Saccharomyces cerevisiae S288C: one gene and its partner. Changing the gene in region 1 together with any one later gene gives a genetic interaction. Each region holds a gene or a part of one and is shown on either strand. Other genes may lie near its edges.

The links.
Region 2: mutations in AUS1 (region 1) and PCA1 together harm fitness less than expected from each alone (positive genetic interaction), as found in Saccharomyces cerevisiae (2 studies listed by BioGRID).

The regions. Positions count from the first base shown.
Region 1 is NC_001147.6:345,919-355,453, forward strand, and holds AUS1 (ATP-binding cassette sterol transporter AUS1), read left to right. Parts: upstream 1-3,760; coding exon 3,761-7,945; downstream 7,946-9,535. Other genes in the region: TIR2 (putative GPI-anchored mannoprotein), read right to left, coding at 277-1,032. UniProt on the Saccharomyces cerevisiae protein: Transporter involved in the uptake of sterol.
Region 2 is NC_001134.8:789,253-798,338, forward strand, and holds PCA1 (cation-transporting P-type ATPase PCA1), read left to right. Parts: upstream 1-3,596; coding exon 3,597-7,247; downstream 7,248-9,086. Other genes in the region: SUL1 (sulfate permease), read left to right, coding at 1-2,562; PHO89 (Pho89p), read right to left, coding at 7,546-9,086.

The DNA of each region.
Region 1 (9,535 bases):
ACTGGCCTTTTCTATTGTTGATTTCTTTCATCCATCGTTAAATATTTTCAGAATGTGGGCAGGAAGACATGCATGTTTGAAGGTGCCTATCCTAGCATCATCATAAAAGAAAACGGTAAATCATTTCCGTTTTCAAAACGTACACTACAGCCTCCAGTTGATGAAATCAGTTCTCACAATAATTCGAGGTTTAAAAGAAACAGTAAAATTTAAAAAAAACTATTCAATAGATAAATTGGTATATACGAACATTAAAAATTCCATTTAAAAATGAGATTATAATAACATGGCGGCAGCGGCCATGACACCAGCACCCATACCGATGACAGCCTTGGCAGCACCGTTTTCAGTTTGTTCGGAAACAGTGCTAGTGGCTTGAACTTGACCATCACTGATTTGAGAAATGGCGGAGGCTTTGGTGGAAGAAGCAACAGCTGAAGAAACAGCAGAGGAAGAAGCCTTAGTGGAAGAGGCAGCCTTGGTAGAGGAAGCGACGGTGGAAGAGGTAGCCTCACTGGAAGAAGCGACAGCAGAAGAAGTAGCAGCAGAAGAAGAAGCTTCACTGGAAGAAGCGACGGCAGAAGAAGTAGCTTCACTGGAGGAAGCGACGGCAGAAGAAGTAGTTTCACTGGAGGAAGCAACAGCGGAAGAAGTAGCAGCAGAAGAAGCTTCAGTAGAAGAGGCAGCGGTGGTAGAAGTTCCTAACAAGGATTCCAATTCTGGTAGAAGCCTGGAAGAATACCATGGAACCATGGTCAACATCTTGCTAACAGCAGCAAAGTCAACCTCAGAGTACAAAGTAGTGTAGGAGTCATCAGTGGCGGAAGCCAAAGCTAAACCGATGTCTAAAACACCAGATGGCAGACTGCTTAAGGAAAATCCAGATGAAGAATCTTCAGCCAAACTAATATATTCTTGCAAGTTGGACTTAACGTCATTCAAAATAACGTTCAATTCGTCAATTTCTTCCTGAGTTTGGGCAGAAGCCAAAGCAGCGATAGCAGCTAATAAAGCGATCTTGATGTAAGCCATTTTTTTGTTATAGTTGAAGCGAGTGTACGAGTGTGTTTTGTATTATTGTGCTGATAATGGCTAAACTGGAAAAGAAGATGATATGTGAGAGCTCTCATTGTTCGAATTTCGTTAACTACTTATATATTATTTTCCGTAGTTACGAAAGTTGAACATTACTTTGTTGTTTTCTTGCTTACTCGTTTACTCACATGATGCTCAGCTATTAAGATAGTTCAGTAGAACATCTTACACTAAACTTTGCACCACAATGTTGATGGTTGCTTTGGGAGATCATTACGGAAAAAAAACTCTTGGCTTTCAAGGATTCCCTGCGACCTAACTCTGCACTCCTTCTGCAAGGTACTGTTTATTTTTTTCGTGTGTCCTTTACGAGGAACGAATAAAGGCTTGAAAGGTAGTTTTAAAGATGAACTTCTTCTTTTCTTTCTTTGCCTATGATTCCTCCAGGGTTTTCTTGCCTTCTACTTTTGGACAGAAATGTCTTTTTTGGGAAATGTGAGTCTCGTTTGGGAATCTTGGCCGGCCAAGATTTTATAAAGATGTTTCTGTAGGCAACGCGCTGCTCTAAGCACCGTGGGGAGGCCATGAAATATGATTGCGCGTAGTTCCCCAACGTTACGTTTATTTTTTTCTGGGCATAAAAAAAGCCAAGACATTCCCCACTGCTTTCCTACAGGCTCTCTATTGTGTATACTTTGCGCTATTGTGTGCTTTGTTGTTGGTCCGAAGATCGCATAAGAGGCACGCCTCTTATCAATTTCTTTATAGGCGGCTACCGCCAGTGGAGTAAAATTCACGCCTTTTTTGTCCACTCCTTTTTCCGTAAATATTACATAATTAAATAGTCACAGCTCTTACGCACCTGTTTGGCCGCACATGAGAGTTAAACGCAAACTCCGCCGAGGCGTCGTTTTTCTAGCTGCTGCTTCACGTTTTATGGAGTCATATTCTGGTCTAAAAAAATTATACTAGGCAGGTAATGGATTGTTTTAAGTTTCTTGTTAACTCACATAGGATCTTTTTTGAGTACCTTGTGAAATGGTTAGATTTGATACCTTATTTTTTTCCAACATTACATTATTTTAGTATCGTTCAAGTTCTCCTTTACTTTTAGAGATTACGCCTACATTATGTATGCCGAACTTAGTAGGAACTATTTGTACGCAAAACATGAATTGTTTGTCGTGTCTGCATACATTAGTGTTGACAGTCAGAGAACTTGATTTTAAAAATAAAAGTTTCTTGTTTACAAAAAAGTATGGTCACCCGGTGTCTTTGCTATAATGGGAACAGAAAACCATTTGCAAGACTACTAAAATACGATTTTGTAATTTGACGTTACAAATATAGGGATAGTTGATAAATAGTTACGCGCAGTTAACTTTTCCTCACCAAAGGACAGTTATTTACCTACTGATTGAAAATGTTTTGGCACAGGATACCAGTTTTCAAATTTATTAATTAATTAAGGAGAAGTGAGAAATGATTAGAAAGCAATTAAGCGGTGAAGGTCTGCTTTTTATACTTACAAGAACGTATTATTAGCAGCCAACGCACTACAGTTGTTGACTAAGTTTTGTTTTAATTTGATTCGTAGTTGTTGGTCGAATTTTGTTTTGACTTGTTTTCAGTTTCTTTTTTTTTAATGCCTGACGTTGAAGAGCACGCAGGCCTATGAAAAAAAAAAATTATACGAGTTACTTGGAATTCGCTCCCATTGCACCAATTTCAGGAAGCGATCAAAAAGAAAGCAATGTTATTCAACATAACTTTATTCATACTGTAGTAACAATAACTTCATATCAATTAGGATTCACTGTTCATTGACTTATCACTACAATATGGAGGAAACGTTGCGTAATCGTTGTCGCTATAGATATTGTCCCTCCCTTCCTCTGTGATAGTTCTTCTTTATATAACTTTCACAAAAGCTTCTGCCCTCATAGTTGCCCTCAATAAACGAAAGGCCAGATGCATACAGGTGCAGTAGTACATCCAAAGAAACATAGGGGCAAAAACCGTGTTCTAATATTAGACTGCATATATCCCCTTGTCATTAGCTTAAATCATATAGAGTAATATGTACATACAGGTTATTTTATTTGTAGCTTTCCTCCTCTTTATGGAGCAAAGTAAGCCATACGAACGGTTTACAATAGAGAGCGTCGTTTGCTTACGTGATTGTCATGTGCCTTCGTAGGCAAAGGGGATTGCACACCTTTTTACTAAACAATAGAAAAGTGAGAATTCTCTTATAGGCACTGCTGCTCCTCGTTTCTTTTTACGCGCTGTCGTTCCAGGTCCTTTTTTCGATTAACTACGGTAGTTTCAAAGAGAGTGCCTGAAGATCACTCCATATACAGGCTAGATGAACTGTAAACGAGCTCATCAGCAGCGTCCCTTTCAGTGTCACTACAGCCACAGCAGCTTACCTCCTGTACGATGTGACAGAGCAAAACACAAATGTGTGTCCTTTCTACTCTTATTTTCCAACTCGAATATAAAGACGGTGCCTTTGCCTTATTTCTAAGGCACTGAACAGTTCTAAAAGTAAAGTTTTCCCTAGCCTTAGTACCGTTTCTGTGAAGCAGTTATTGAATAGTTATTGGACATAAAAATCCATATTGAAAAAAAAAAAAACATACTTGAGAAGGCATTAGCTGAATAGTAAAGACTGCTGTAATTCATCTCTCAGTCCTTGCAGTCTGCTTTTTCTGGAATTAATATGTCAATTTCAAAGTACTTCACTCCCGTTGCTGACGGGTCACTCACTTTCAATGGCGCGAACATTCAATTTGGCGCCGATGCTCAAGGCGAGTCAAAAAAGAGTTATGACGCTGAGGACAGCATGCCGAATCCGGCAAATCAACTAAATGACATAACCTTCCAAGCAGAGGCTGGTGAAATGGTTTTGGTTTTGGGTTATCCCACATCCACTCTATTTAAGACTTTGTTTCATGGTAAAACTAGTTTGTCATACTCTCCTCCAGGCTCGATTAAATTTAAAAATAATGAGTTTAAGAGCTTTTCCGAAAAATGTCCCCACCAAATCATTTACAATAATGAACAAGATGTGCATTTCCCATTTCTAACGGTAGAACAAACAATTGATTTTGCCTTGAGTTGTAAGTTCGATATTCCAAAAGGTGAGCGCGATCAAATAAGAAATGAACTTCTAAGAGAATTCGGCCTGTCTCATGTATTGAAAACTATTGTAGGAAATGATTTTTTCCGTGGTGTTTCTGGTGGTGAGCGTAAACGTATTTCTATTATTGAAACGTTTATTGCTAATGGTTCCGTTTATCTATGGGATAATTCTACTAAAGGTTTAGATTCCGCCACAGCTCTCGATTTTTTGGAAATTCTTAGAAAAATGGCAAAAGCTACTCGTTCTGTAAACTTAGTCAGAATTTCCCAGGCAAGTGATAAAATTGTTGATAAGTTTGACAAGATTCTTATGCTATCCGATTCCTACCAGCTTTTCTATGGTACGGTCGATGAGTGTTTGACTTATTTTCGTGACACTTTAGGTATTGAGAAAGATCCTAACGATTGTATTATTGAATATCTGACCTCTATCTTAAATTTTCAGTTCAAAAATAAAAATTTGGGGAATTTATCAAATTCATCATCTGCTAGCGTTCTCAAAACCGCAACAGGGGAAGTCACTAAGTATACTTATAATTCTGATTTCGATTTATATGATCAATGGAAACATTCTTCGTACTATAGAAATATAAAGCAGCAAATCCAGGGGTCTTCAATTGATGACTCCATTAAGGAAGTGGATCCCTCTGATGTCTCACCTATTTTTAATATTCCGTTGAAGAAACAATTATTATTTTGCACAAAAAGAGCTTTTCAACGAAGTTTGGGTGATAAAGCTTATATGACGGCACAATTTATTTCTGTCGTTATTCAATCTTTGGTCATTGGTTCACTGTTTTACGAAATTCCGTTGACTACCATTGGTTCATACTCAAGAGGTTCTTTAACCTTTTTCTCCATTCTTTTCTTCACTTTTCTTTCTCTTGCAGATATGCCTATTGCCTTCCAAAGACAACCCGTCGTTAAAAAGCAATCCCAACTTCACTTCTATACTAACTGGGTTGAAACCCTTTCAACAACAGTGTTCGACTACTGCTTTAAACTTTGTTTGGTAATTGTATTCAGTATCATCCTATACTTCCTTGCTCACCTGCAATACAAGGCTGCAAGATTTTTCATTTTCCTCCTGTTCCTTTCCTTTTACAATTTCTGTATGGTGTCCTTATTCGCTTTGACGACACTAGTTGCTCCAACCATTTCAGTTGCAAATTTATTTGCAGGTATTCTGCTACTAGCTATAGCAATGTATGCTTCTTACGTCATCTACCTGAAAAATATGCATCCTTGGTTTGTATGGATTGCTTATCTAAATCCTGCAATGTACGCTATGGAGGCAATACTGTCTAATGAGCTTTACAATTTGAAGCTGGATTGTAGTGAGACAATTGTTCCAAGAGGTCCTACTTACAACGATGTTCCATTTTCCCATAAGGCCTGTGCTTGGCAAGGTGCTACTCTGGGTAATGATTACGTTAGAGGCCGTGATTACTTGAAGCAAGGTTTATCCTACACGTATCATCATGTGTGGAGAAACTTTGGTATTATCATTGGTTTCCTAGTATTCTTTATTGCCTGTACTCTGTTTGCATCTCAATATATTAAGCCTTATTTCAATAAGGATGAAATAGAGCGCAACAATAGTCGTTTGACAAGATGGCTACCATTTTTGAATAAAAAGAGAGGTACCAGGTCCTCTGCAAGAAATGACAGTAAGTATGTTGGTATCCCAAAGTCGCACTCCGTTTCGTCTTCCTCGTCTAGCCTGTCGGCTGTTCCATATCAGATATCACCCTCAAATAAGGAAATGGCTCTAAACGATTATAACGAGCAACCTATCACGGAAACAGTAGAGACTCAAAAGCATATCATCTCTTGGAAAAATATCAACTACACAGTTGGTACAAAGAAACTGATTAATAATGCATCCGGTTTCATCAGTTCTGGTTTGACCGCCTTAATGGGTGAGTCCGGTGCAGGTAAAACTACTTTGCTGAATGTCTTATCACAAAGAGTTGAGACAGGTGTTGTTAGCGGCGAAATTTTGATCGATGGCCACCCATTGACAGATGAGGACGCGTTTAAGAGAAGTATTGGTTTTGTTCAACAACAGGATTTGCATCTAGATTTGCTGTCTGTGAAAGAATCTCTGGAAATATCATGTCTTTTGAGAGGTGATGGTGACAGGGCATACTTAGACACTGTTTCAAATTTACTGAAATTGCCATCTGACATTTTAGTCGCTGATTTAAACCCGACTCAAAGGAAGCTTTTATCTATCGGTGTTGAACTTGTTACTAAGCCTTCACTTTTATTATTCCTAGACGAACCAACCTCTGGGCTGGACGCTGAGGCTGCACTAACAATCGTCAAATTTTTAAAACAACTTTCTTTACAGGGTCAGGCTATTTTTTGTACCATTCATCAGCCTAGTAAAAGTGTCATCAGCCATTTTGACAATATTTTCTTATTGAAAAGGGGTGGTGAATGTGTCTTCTTTGGACCAATGGACGATGCCTGCGGCTATTTCATGTCTCATGACAACACGCTCGTTTACGATAAAGAACATGATAACCCTGCAGATTTCGTCATTGATGCAGTAGGTAACAGTAACTCCTCGGCAGGGAAAGATACAGCGGAGGAAGCTCTTACTTTGAACAAAGAAGCCATAGATTGGAGTGCATTATGGGAATCTTCTGTAGAAAAGAAACTAGTTAAAAAAGAAACAGCTAGGTTAGAAGATGATGCTCGTGCGTCTGGTGTTGATTACACAACCTCATTGTGGAAGCAGCCTTCCTACTTACAGCAATTAGCTCTTATTACAAGAAGACAATATATTTGTACGAAAAGAGACATGACTTATGTCATGGCCAAGTACTGTTTGAATGGTGGCGCTGGTTTGTTTATCGGTTTCTCATTTTGGCACATTAAGCATAATATTATCGGTTTGCAGGATAGTATCTTCTTCTGTTTCATGGCTCTTTGTGTTTCATCTCCATTGATCAATCAAATTCAGGACAAAGCCTTGAAAACAAAGGAAGTTTATGTTGCTAGGGAGGCGAGATCTAACACTTATCACTGGACTGTTCTTCTTTTGTCACAGTCAATTATTGAACTACCACTGGCACTTACAAGTTCCACACTATTTTTCGTCTGTGCCTTTTTCTCTTGTGGATTTAACAACGCTGGCTGGAGTGCCGGTGTTTTCTTTTTAAACTATATGCTTTTCGCTGCTTATTACTCGACTCTTGGTTTATGGCTGATCTATACTGCTCCTAATCTACAAACTGCTGCTGTTTTTGTTGCGTTTATTTACAGTTTTACAGCATCATTCTGTGGTGTTATGCAACCATACTCTTTGTTTCCAACTTTTTGGAAATTCATGTACAGGGTTTCGCCATACACATATTTTGTGGAAACTTTTGTTAGTATTCTATTGCATAACTGGGAAATCAAGTGTGACATGTCGGAGATGGTTCCTGGTCAACCTCTGACGGGGCAATCTTGTGGCCAATTTATGGAAGCTTTCATAGAAGAATACGGTGGCTATCTACATAATAAGAACACTTTCACAGTCTGCGCTTATTGTACGTACACTGTTGGCGATGACTTCCTGAAAAATGAGAATATGAGTTACGACCACGTTTGGAGGAACTTTGGTATTGAATGGGCTTTTGTTGGTTTCAATTTCTTTGCGATGTTTGCTGGTTACTACTTAACTTACGTGGCAAGAATATGGCCAAAGGTCTTTAAAATTATCACCAAAGTAATTCCACACAGAGGGAAGAAGCCTGTACAGAACTAATACCATTTTTAAATATATTTCTACTTTCTACTTAATAGCAATTTTAATTAATCTAATTATTTACAAGTCACCAATGACTGACTAAACAATTGAAAGAGTCCTTTGTACAACAAAAAAAAAGATACTTGTCGCTGACGCTCAAAAAATATTTATATAGCAAAAGTGCACGACAAAAAATGCTTCCAATCGGATTTGAACCGATGATCTCCACATTACTAGTGTGGCGCCTTACCAACTTGGCCATAGAAGCAGTAAACCGTTATTTTGTTGTTTCTCAGAGTGGTACACGTCAGTATGACAATACATCATCCTAAAACGTTCATATGAAACAACCTTATAACAAAACGAACAGAATGAGCAACATGACATATAACTTCGCCTCCCTTAGCTTAACCACCCAAACGTATAGACGCCTGAGCAATTAATTTAGATCCGAGGTTCGGCGCTTCCACCAATTAATATGATCCATATTTTATATAATATATAGGATAAGTAACATCCCATGAAAAGCTGATAATCCGTTCTGACAACTGGTTACTTCCATTGACTGTTTATATTGGGATTTTCAAGACACCCCGGTATTACTCGTACCCGTAAAACAACATACACTTCGTCATGACTGAGAAGAATATAGGAGTAAAAAGAATACCTGAACTAACAGATATAATCAGCATCATGTTTTTTAAGCGAGAATACAGAAATATTCAAATTAAGATAGGCAACAAGGATTAGTTTAAATCTGAAAATCTTTTAAGATTAGGTACCTAATTTAGCTATATTGCTTTATGATTAGTTATAACGTCATTGGAGGAACAAACTATTGGAATAAGAATCGACTATAATCTACCGGCGAGTATTCATAAGCTATTATATTGTGGTAGACGGAGTAGAAAGATAAAAAAGGATTGAAAACAGTCATCTGATTTAATGGAAGCTGAAATGCAAGATTTAATAATGTAATAGGATAATGAATGACAACATAAAAAATAGAAGAAATAATAATAGTAACATTATGTGGAAATATGGGTTTCCTTGGCAGGTTCCTATATCCTTGAGAAAGAGCTTCTAATATATTTTGTATATTTAGTATTATAACTAAGCTGTTAGAAAATAAAATACCGCTAAATCAATTGAGGCGGTATTAAATACCTGTACATTTGAATATTTGGAATGAGAAAGAAATATAGTTACATAATGTACAAAAAAGAAGCAAGAAAGGAATATATATATATATATATATATATATATATATGTATATTGTTATTTAGAATATCTCTCTCTCTTCGAGAATCTCTATATCCTCGAAAAGAACTTTTAGCATATTCACGATAGGTCGTATTATCAATTAAATCAATTACGAAGTTCGGAAGTTATTGCCTACATAATATGATGTCCTGTTCATAAAAATAGAGCCCTAAGAAGTGTTATTAAATTTAACCAGCCTACAAATTAAATATAAAATGAGTGTTATTGTTCCACCGACTTGAATAATTGTACAACTTTAGCTAACATTTTAACTAATATTTTAACGCATCTTATTATCAAGTATTGTAACAATACGTATCATCTTACTATCTCAATGGAAGCATT
Region 2 (9,086 bases), on another chromosome or scaffold:
ACTGAATATGTGCATAATCAGGAGGATGCTGATATCGAAGTATTTGAATCAGAATACCGCACATATAGGGAATCTGAGGCGGCAGAAAACAGAGACGGACTTCACAATGGTGATGAGGAAAATTGGAAGGTTAATAGTAGTAAGCAGAAATTTGGGGTAACGAAAAATGAGCTATCAGATGTCCTGTACGATTCCATTCCAGCGTATGAAGAGAGCACAGTCACTTTGAAGGAGTACTATGATCATTCTATCAAAAACAATCTAACTGCGAAATCGGCAGGAAGTTACCTCGTATCTCTTTTTCCTATTATAAAATGGTTTCCTCATTATAACTTTACGTGGGGCTATGCTGATTTAGTGGCAGGAATTACAGTTGGCTGCGTACTCGTGCCCCAATCTATGTCATACGCACAAATCGCTAGTTTATCTCCTGAATATGGTTTGTATTCCTCCTTTATTGGTGCGTTTATATATTCTTTGTTTGCCACATCGAAAGATGTTTGTATTGGTCCGGTCGCTGTAATGTCACTACAAACTGCCAAAGTCATTGCTGAAGTTCTAAAAAAATATCCCGAAGACCAGACAGAAGTTACAGCTCCTATCATTGCAACTACCCTTTGTTTGCTTTGTGGGATTGTCGCCACTGGGTTGGGTATACTGCGTTTAGGCTTTTTAGTGGAACTTATTTCTCTAAATGCTGTTGCTGGCTTCATGACCGGTTCCGCATTTAACATCATCTGGGGTCAAATTCCGGCTCTCATGGGATACAACTCATTAGTGAATACCAGAGAAGCAACGTATAAGGTTGTAATTAACACTCTGAAACATTTACCAAACACAAAGTTAGACGCCGTTTTTGGCTTGATTCCGTTGGTAATCCTCTATGTATGGAAATGGTGGTGTGGTACATTTGGTATAACTTTGGCAGATAGATATTATCGAAATCAACCAAAGGTAGCAAATAGACTGAAATCCTTCTATTTCTATGCACAAGCTATGAGAAATGCCGTCGTCATAGTAGTTTTTACTGCCATATCGTGGAGCATAACAAGAAACAAATCTTCAAAAGACCGTCCAATCAGTATTCTGGGTACAGTTCCCTCGGGCTTAAATGAGGTGGGAGTTATGAAAATCCCAGACGGTCTGCTATCTAATATGAGTTCAGAAATACCTGCTTCAATTATCGTTCTGGTGTTAGAACACATCGCTATTTCAAAATCCTTTGGTAGAATTAACGACTACAAGGTTGTCCCTGACCAAGAACTTATTGCGATTGGTGTGACAAATTTGATAGGGACATTTTTTCACTCATATCCAGCAACTGGGTCATTTTCCAGATCTGCTTTGAAAGCAAAATGTAACGTGCGCACTCCGTTTTCTGGGGTATTCACTGGCGGTTGCGTTCTATTAGCACTTTATTGTTTAACTGACGCCTTCTTTTTCATTCCTAAAGCGACACTATCGGCGGTTATTATTCATGCTGTTTCTGATTTGCTGACTTCTTACAAAACCACCTGGACCTTCTGGAAGACCAACCCGTTAGATTGTATCTCATTTATCGTTACAGTGTTCATCACAGTATTTTCATCCATTGAAAATGGTATATATTTTGCAATGTGTTGGTCATGTGCAATGTTACTATTGAAACAGGCTTTCCCTGCTGGTAAATTCCTTGGTCGTGTTGAGGTGGCAGAAGTATTGAACCCAACAGTACAAGAGGATATTGATGCTGTGATATCATCTAATGAATTACCTAATGAACTGAATAAACAGGTTAAGTCTACTGTTGAGGTTTTACCAGCCCCAGAGTATAAGTTTAGCGTAAAGTGGGTTCCGTTCGATCATGGATACTCAAGAGAATTGAATATCAATACCACAGTTCGGCCTCCTCCACCAGGTGTCATAGTCTATCGTTTGGGTGATAGCTTTACTTACGTGAACTGCTCAAGGCATTATGACATTATATTTGATCGTATTAAGGAAGAAACAAGGCGAGGCCAACTTATAACCTTAAGGAAAAAGTCAGACCGTCCATGGAATGATCCTGGTGAATGGAAAATGCCAGATTCTTTGAAATCACTATTTAAATTTAAACGTCATTCAGCAACAACGAATAGTGACCTACCGATATCGAATGGAAGCAGTAACGGAGAAACATATGAAAAGCCGCTACTGAAAGTCGTCTGCCTGGATTTTTCCCAAGTTGCTCAAGTGGATTCAACCGCTGTTCAAAGCCTGGTTGATCTGAGAAAAGCTGTGAATAGGTATGCGGATAGACAAGTCGAATTCCATTTTGCCGGAATTATATCTCCATGGATCAAAAGAAGTCTTTTGAGTGTTAAATTCGGAACTACAAATGAGGAATATAGTGACGACTCTATTATCGCTGGCCATTCTAGTTTTCACGTTGCAAAAGTTTTGAAGGATGATGTGGATTATACTGATGAAGACAGCCGTATAAGCACATCTTACAGTAACTATGAAACATTATGTGCTGCAACTGGGACAAATTTACCGTTTTTTCATATCGATATACCCGATTTTTCTAAATGGGACGTTTAGTGTAGTAGATAGTAAGTACTTTAATTACCCCCCCTGTTTTTAGTTATACATGAAAAGATAATTGTGTTATTAATGTAGATTACCATCAAATAGCTGGAATATTTATTATTTTGAGTATGTTGAATGGCGAAAGTAAAAATAAATTTTATAATTTCCTGAAAGCATTAGTACACGAAAAGGGCCGTTTTCAGTAGTTTAAGGCGCTGAAAAGACATGGTCTAGAAGTTAACTTGAGCTTGAGCCTATTTTCTACAAATGTCCTTTGAAAATACAAAAATAAAAATAAAAATGCATTTAAGTATTAAGCTTATGCTAGATAGAGCAACATTTTCCTAATTTTTTTTGAATTTATTTCATGGTTTTTAGGCGGAAAGAGTTTGGACGGCTTGTCTCTCCTAATGTGGAAGAAATTATGTTTTGTTATGAATCTGAAAAGAAAAATACTATTTTAGCAATACAATGAATTTTAAAAAGTTACCCTGTACTTTAATCCTTCAATTAAAACACTTCTTAAAATAGTATATTTTGAAGATCATCGATATATATACAGAGGCAGTTTTGCAAGGCAGATAACGTTATTGAGTTGTATGTAGGCTGTGTGATTTTAATCTCATAAATCAATAATGGAATAATTTTCTTATTGTTAATATCGATTTATATTTTCCAACAATACAATGAAGTAAGTACTATTTCTATTTGGAAGGAATTCATTCCCCATTTTAGCTCCTCGAGCGGATGAATCCATCACTGTTTTGAAGAAAACCAACAAAGTGTCAAATAGTTGTCTTTTTGAAATTGGTTCTGAAGAGTTTTCGGAAAATGATCTGATAACAGGCCTTTCTAAAAATATAAGGTTGAACGAATGTATGGGTTAGGTAATCAAAATTTAGGCGCCAACAAGGAATTTTTCTTTAAAATCGCATGAAAAGCCTACACTTGGCATAAATAAGGTGCAATTATAAATATAAAAGCAAGATATTTTCGAGATGCTTCCAGGATTTATACAATGAAAGAGCCCAAAGCTGCTGATAACGATGAAGCCGGAAAAACTCTTCTCCGGTTTAGGTACCAGCGATGGCGAGTATGGAGTGGTAAATAGCGAGAACATATCAATAGATGCTATGCAAGATAATAGAGGCGAGTGTCATCGTAGATCCATAGAAATGCATGCTAATGACAATCTGGGATTGGTCTCCCAGCGAGACTGTACCAATCGGCCCAAAATTACTCCTCAGGAATGTTTGAGTGAGACTGAGCAGATATGCCATCATGGCGAGAATAGGACTAAGGCTGGGTTAGATGTAGACGATGCTGAAACCGGTGGTGATCACACCAATGAATCCCGTGTAGATGAATGTTGTGCTGAGAAAGTGAACGACACTGAGACTGGCTTGGATGTGGACAGCTGTTGCGGCGATGCTCAAACAGGTGGTGACCACACCAATGAATCCTGTGTTGATGGATGCTGCGTTAGAGATTCTTCAGTGATGGTCGAGGAAGTTACAGGCAGCTGCGAAGCTGTATCTTCTAAAGAACAATTGCTGACCAGCTTTGAAGTTGTTCCAAGCAAATCTGAAGGTCTGCAATCTATTCATGATATTAGAGAGACAACTCGCTGCAATACCAATTCCAACCAACACACAGGGAAGGGTAGGCTTTGCATCGAATCAAGTGACTCTACACTCAAGAAAAGAAGTTGTAAAGTTAGCAGACAGAAAATTGAGGTTTCCAGTAAGCCTGAGTGCTGCAACATTTCATGTGTTGAGCGGATTGCATCTCGTAGCTGTGAAAAGAGGACTTTTAAAGGTAGCACCAATGTTGGAATTTCTGGGAGTAGCTCTACCGACAGTTTAAGCGAGAAGTTCTTCAGCGAACAGTACTCTAGAATGTACAATCGTTACTCCTCAATTTTGAAAAATTTAGGTTGTATCTGTAACTATTTGCGTACTTTGGGAAAAGAATCTTGTTGTCTCCCAAAGGTGCGTTTTTGTAGCGGGGAGGGTGCTTCTAAAAAGACAAAATACTCCTACCGCAACAGTTCTGGATGTTTAACAAAGAAAAAGACCCATGGAGACAAAGAAAGGTTGAGCAATGACAATGGCCATGCTGATTTTGTTTGTTCTAAAAGTTGTTGCACTAAAATGAAGGATTGTGCTGTTACCTCAACTATTTCTGGACACTCTTCGAGTGAAATTTCAAGAATCGTATCAATGGAACCAATTGAAAATCATCTTAATCTTGAGGCAGGATCTACCGGTACCGAGCACATTGTTCTTAGTGTTTCAGGAATGTCCTGTACTGGTTGTGAATCAAAACTTAAGAAATCATTTGGCGCGCTCAAATGTGTTCACGGTTTGAAGACCAGTTTAATATTATCGCAAGCTGAATTTAATCTGGATCTTGCTCAGGGATCTGTCAAGGATGTTATCAAGCACTTGAGCAAAACTACTGAATTCAAGTACGAACAGATTTCAAATCATGGTTCAACTATAGATGTTGTTGTTCCTTATGCAGCAAAAGATTTTATTAATGAGGAATGGCCACAAGGTGTCACAGAGCTGAAAATTGTTGAGAGAAATATCATTCGTATTTACTTTGACCCAAAGGTTATAGGTGCCAGAGATCTTGTCAATGAAGGATGGAGCGTGCCTGTTAGTATTGCTCCATTCAGTTGTCATCCAACCATTGAAGTGGGAAGGAAGCATTTAGTTCGTGTAGGCTGCACGACCGCTTTATCCATAATATTGACGATCCCGATTCTCGTGATGGCTTGGGCTCCACAGCTTCGTGAAAAAATTTCCACTATCTCCGCGTCAATGGTGCTAGCAACTATTATTCAATTTGTTATTGCAGGACCGTTTTACTTAAATGCCTTGAAGAGTTTGATATTTTCCAGGCTCATTGAAATGGATCTACTAATAGTTTTAAGCACTAGCGCTGCCTACATATTTTCGATTGTATCATTTGGATATTTCGTTGTTGGACGCCCGTTATCTACGGAGCAGTTTTTTGAAACCAGCTCTTTGCTTGTAACTCTCATCATGGTTGGTCGCTTTGTGAGTGAACTAGCTAGACATAGGGCTGTAAAGTCAATATCAGTACGTTCCTTACAGGCCTCTTCTGCTATTCTGGTGGATAAAACTGGTAAAGAGACGGAAATTAATATTAGACTTCTCCAATATGGCGATATTTTTAAGGTTTTACCTGATTCAAGAATCCCAACTGATGGAACAGTCATTTCTGGGTCTTCTGAAGTCGACGAAGCGTTAATCACAGGTGAATCTATGCCAGTCCCGAAAAAGTGTCAATCAATTGTTGTTGCAGGATCGGTGAATGGCACTGGTACTTTGTTTGTGAAGCTGAGCAAGCTTCCAGGGAACAATACTATTAGTACCATAGCCACGATGGTTGATGAAGCAAAATTAACTAAGCCAAAGATCCAAAATATCGCTGATAAAATTGCAAGTTATTTCGTGCCAACTATCATTGGAATCACTGTCGTCACCTTTTGCGTTTGGATAGCGGTTGGAATCCGTGTGGAAAAGCAATCCCGCTCCGATGCCGTAATTCAGGCCATTATATATGCCATTACGGTACTTATCGTTTCGTGTCCCTGCGTGATTGGACTTGCCGTTCCTATCGTATTTGTTATTGCAAGTGGCGTCGCTGCGAAAAGAGGGGTAATCTTCAAATCAGCAGAGAGTATAGAAGTTGCTCACAACACTTCGCATGTTGTCTTCGATAAAACGGGTACCCTAACTGAAGGAAAACTTACTGTAGTACATGAAACTGTTAGGGGTGATCGTCATAATTCTCAATCTTTGTTGCTTGGATTAACTGAAGGAATAAAACACCCAGTTTCCATGGCAATAGCATCCTATCTCAAAGAAAAAGGTGTTTCTGCTCAAAATGTTTCTAATACAAAAGCTGTGACTGGTAAGCGGGTAGAAGGAACATCATACTCTGGTTTGAAGTTACAAGGAGGGAACTGTCGTTGGCTTGGTCATAACAATGATCCTGACGTTCGAAAAGCCCTTGAACAAGGATATTCTGTATTCTGTTTTAGTGTTAATGGTTCAGTCACTGCAGTTTATGCATTAGAGGACTCTTTACGGGCAGATGCTGTCTCCACTATTAACTTGTTACGCCAAAGAGGGATTTCACTACACATTTTATCAGGGGATGACGATGGAGCCGTTCGTTCTATGGCAGCCCGTCTTGGAATTGAAAGCTCCAATATTCGTTCTCACGCAACGCCTGCAGAAAAGAGTGAATATATTAAGGATATTGTCGAAGGAAGAAATTGCGATAGTTCTTCGCAGTCAAAAAGACCGGTTGTTGTTTTTTGCGGTGACGGAACAAACGACGCAATTGGTTTGACTCAAGCAACGATTGGAGTTCATATCAATGAGGGAAGTGAGGTTGCCAAGCTAGCTGCTGATGTAGTTATGTTAAAGCCAAAGCTCAACAATATTTTGACTATGATAACTGTAAGTCAAAAGGCCATGTTTAGGGTCAAATTGAATTTCTTATGGAGTTTTACTTACAACTTATTTGCTATCCTTTTGGCGGCTGGTGCCTTTGTTGACTTTCATATTCCACCAGAGTATGCGGGTTTAGGGGAACTAGTTAGTATCCTCCCTGTAATTTTTGTAGCTATACTTCTGCGTTATGCAAAGATTTAGTCCAGGTACTGCTGCTATTTGATTGTAGATTTTCTTTTTTCTTTTCTTTTTTTTTTTTGACGACTCTGTAATACTCTATTTATTATTTAGTTTAGTTTTCTATTTAATATGATGGAATTCATAAAAAAAAAAAATACACATAGCCATGCCAGGTAATTGCAGATCAACTGATAAATTAGAAAAAAATTAATGCATCTTTAAGGTTTTAAATTAGAAATGTTTTAACTTTAAAGTCACTGAGCAATAAAAGTTCTACCTAATGTTGTAAAACTGTATTCATAACCGAAACACATTATGATTATGTCATTTGGTATTCCACACCAAAGCGAGGAGCATTCAAAATGATACCATTTATGATACCGGCAATCAAACCAGCAATTGGTAAAGTTAAAAACCAACCAGAATAACACCAGGCTACCATTCTCCAATTAACTGATTTGAGATCCTTGTTACATAAACCAACAGCGACAATACCACCAACGGCGATCTGGGTTGTTGAGGTAGGAATACCTAATTGGGTAGCCATGACAGTAGTAATAGCAACAGCTAGTTCAATTGAAAAGCCTCTTGATGGCGACTGCAAAATCATCTTATTACCTAGATTTTTGATAATATTGTAACCATAAGTCCAGCAACCAATAACTAAGGCAACACCACCATAAGCCAGAACCCACACGGGAACTTCGGACTTTGCCCCAATAGTGTTAGTTTTCCAGATCACATACACAGCAGACAAAGGACCAGTAGCGTTGGCAACGTCATTAGCTCCATGAGCAAAAGACATAGTGGCTGCAGTAATGGCTTGGAGAACCGAATAGATATATTCTACTCTATTGTCGTAAAATTTAGATCTTTCGTACATTCCTTTCAGGTCACCAGATAACATATCTCTATCATTAACTTGAGCATGAATGACGTCTTGAGTCCAACCATGAGAGATTACTAACCAGAACAATAAGGGCCATTTTTTAGGTCCTTGCTTTAATAATGACCACCAATATTGTTTCGTTGACAACTTTGTTTCTGGTTCAGTTTCAGTTCTAACCAGGTCCACTTCCTGGATGTCTTCTTTGTTTTTGACGGAATCATTAGAATTACTCGCTGCCTTATTTTCTTCGTCTTCAACAGAAACAGTTGTTCCAAGATTTCTTCTGCCCTCGTAATAATCGATTGTTAATTGATGGCCTTCTGGCATTGGTGGGATATCATCAGTGGACTTAAAGTAAAAAGATGGACCTCTGAAAATATCAATCAACTTTAGTGTCCAATCTTGGTCCAAAACTTTTCTTCTGTAGAATGGGTAGAAAAAGATGAAGTAAACGATCGAAGCAATTGCACCTGTGAGAACAATAGATACGGCAGTTTCAGTTTCAGATAAATCGTCCAAGTGTAGGTTTGGAGAACCCTTCCAGACAATCAACATTGTTAAGATAGAGAAAGTGGCGAATACTAAAACACCAACCAGCAGTAAAGCATTCTTAATCGATCTTTCCAAAGACTTAACTTCAAGGACAGAAAACCTAGAAATTGAAAAAACTATAGCTGCGATCGCGCCTGCCAAAATCGGAGCAATGAACCATGACGCAATAATTTGAGAAACACCACTCCAACCCCAAACGACACCGTTAGCTCCACCGGCTGCAATCCCAGCGCCAATTGTACCACCAACAATGGAATGTGTAGTAGAAACTGGCATTCCGATTGCAGTAGCAAATGTTAACCAACAAGACGAGCCAATCAAAGCACTGGTCATAGTAAGCATTAAAACAGCGGGGTCGTTGGTAAAAATGGAGGAATCTATAATGTTGTTCTTGATAGTACCAGAAACTCTTGCGCCTG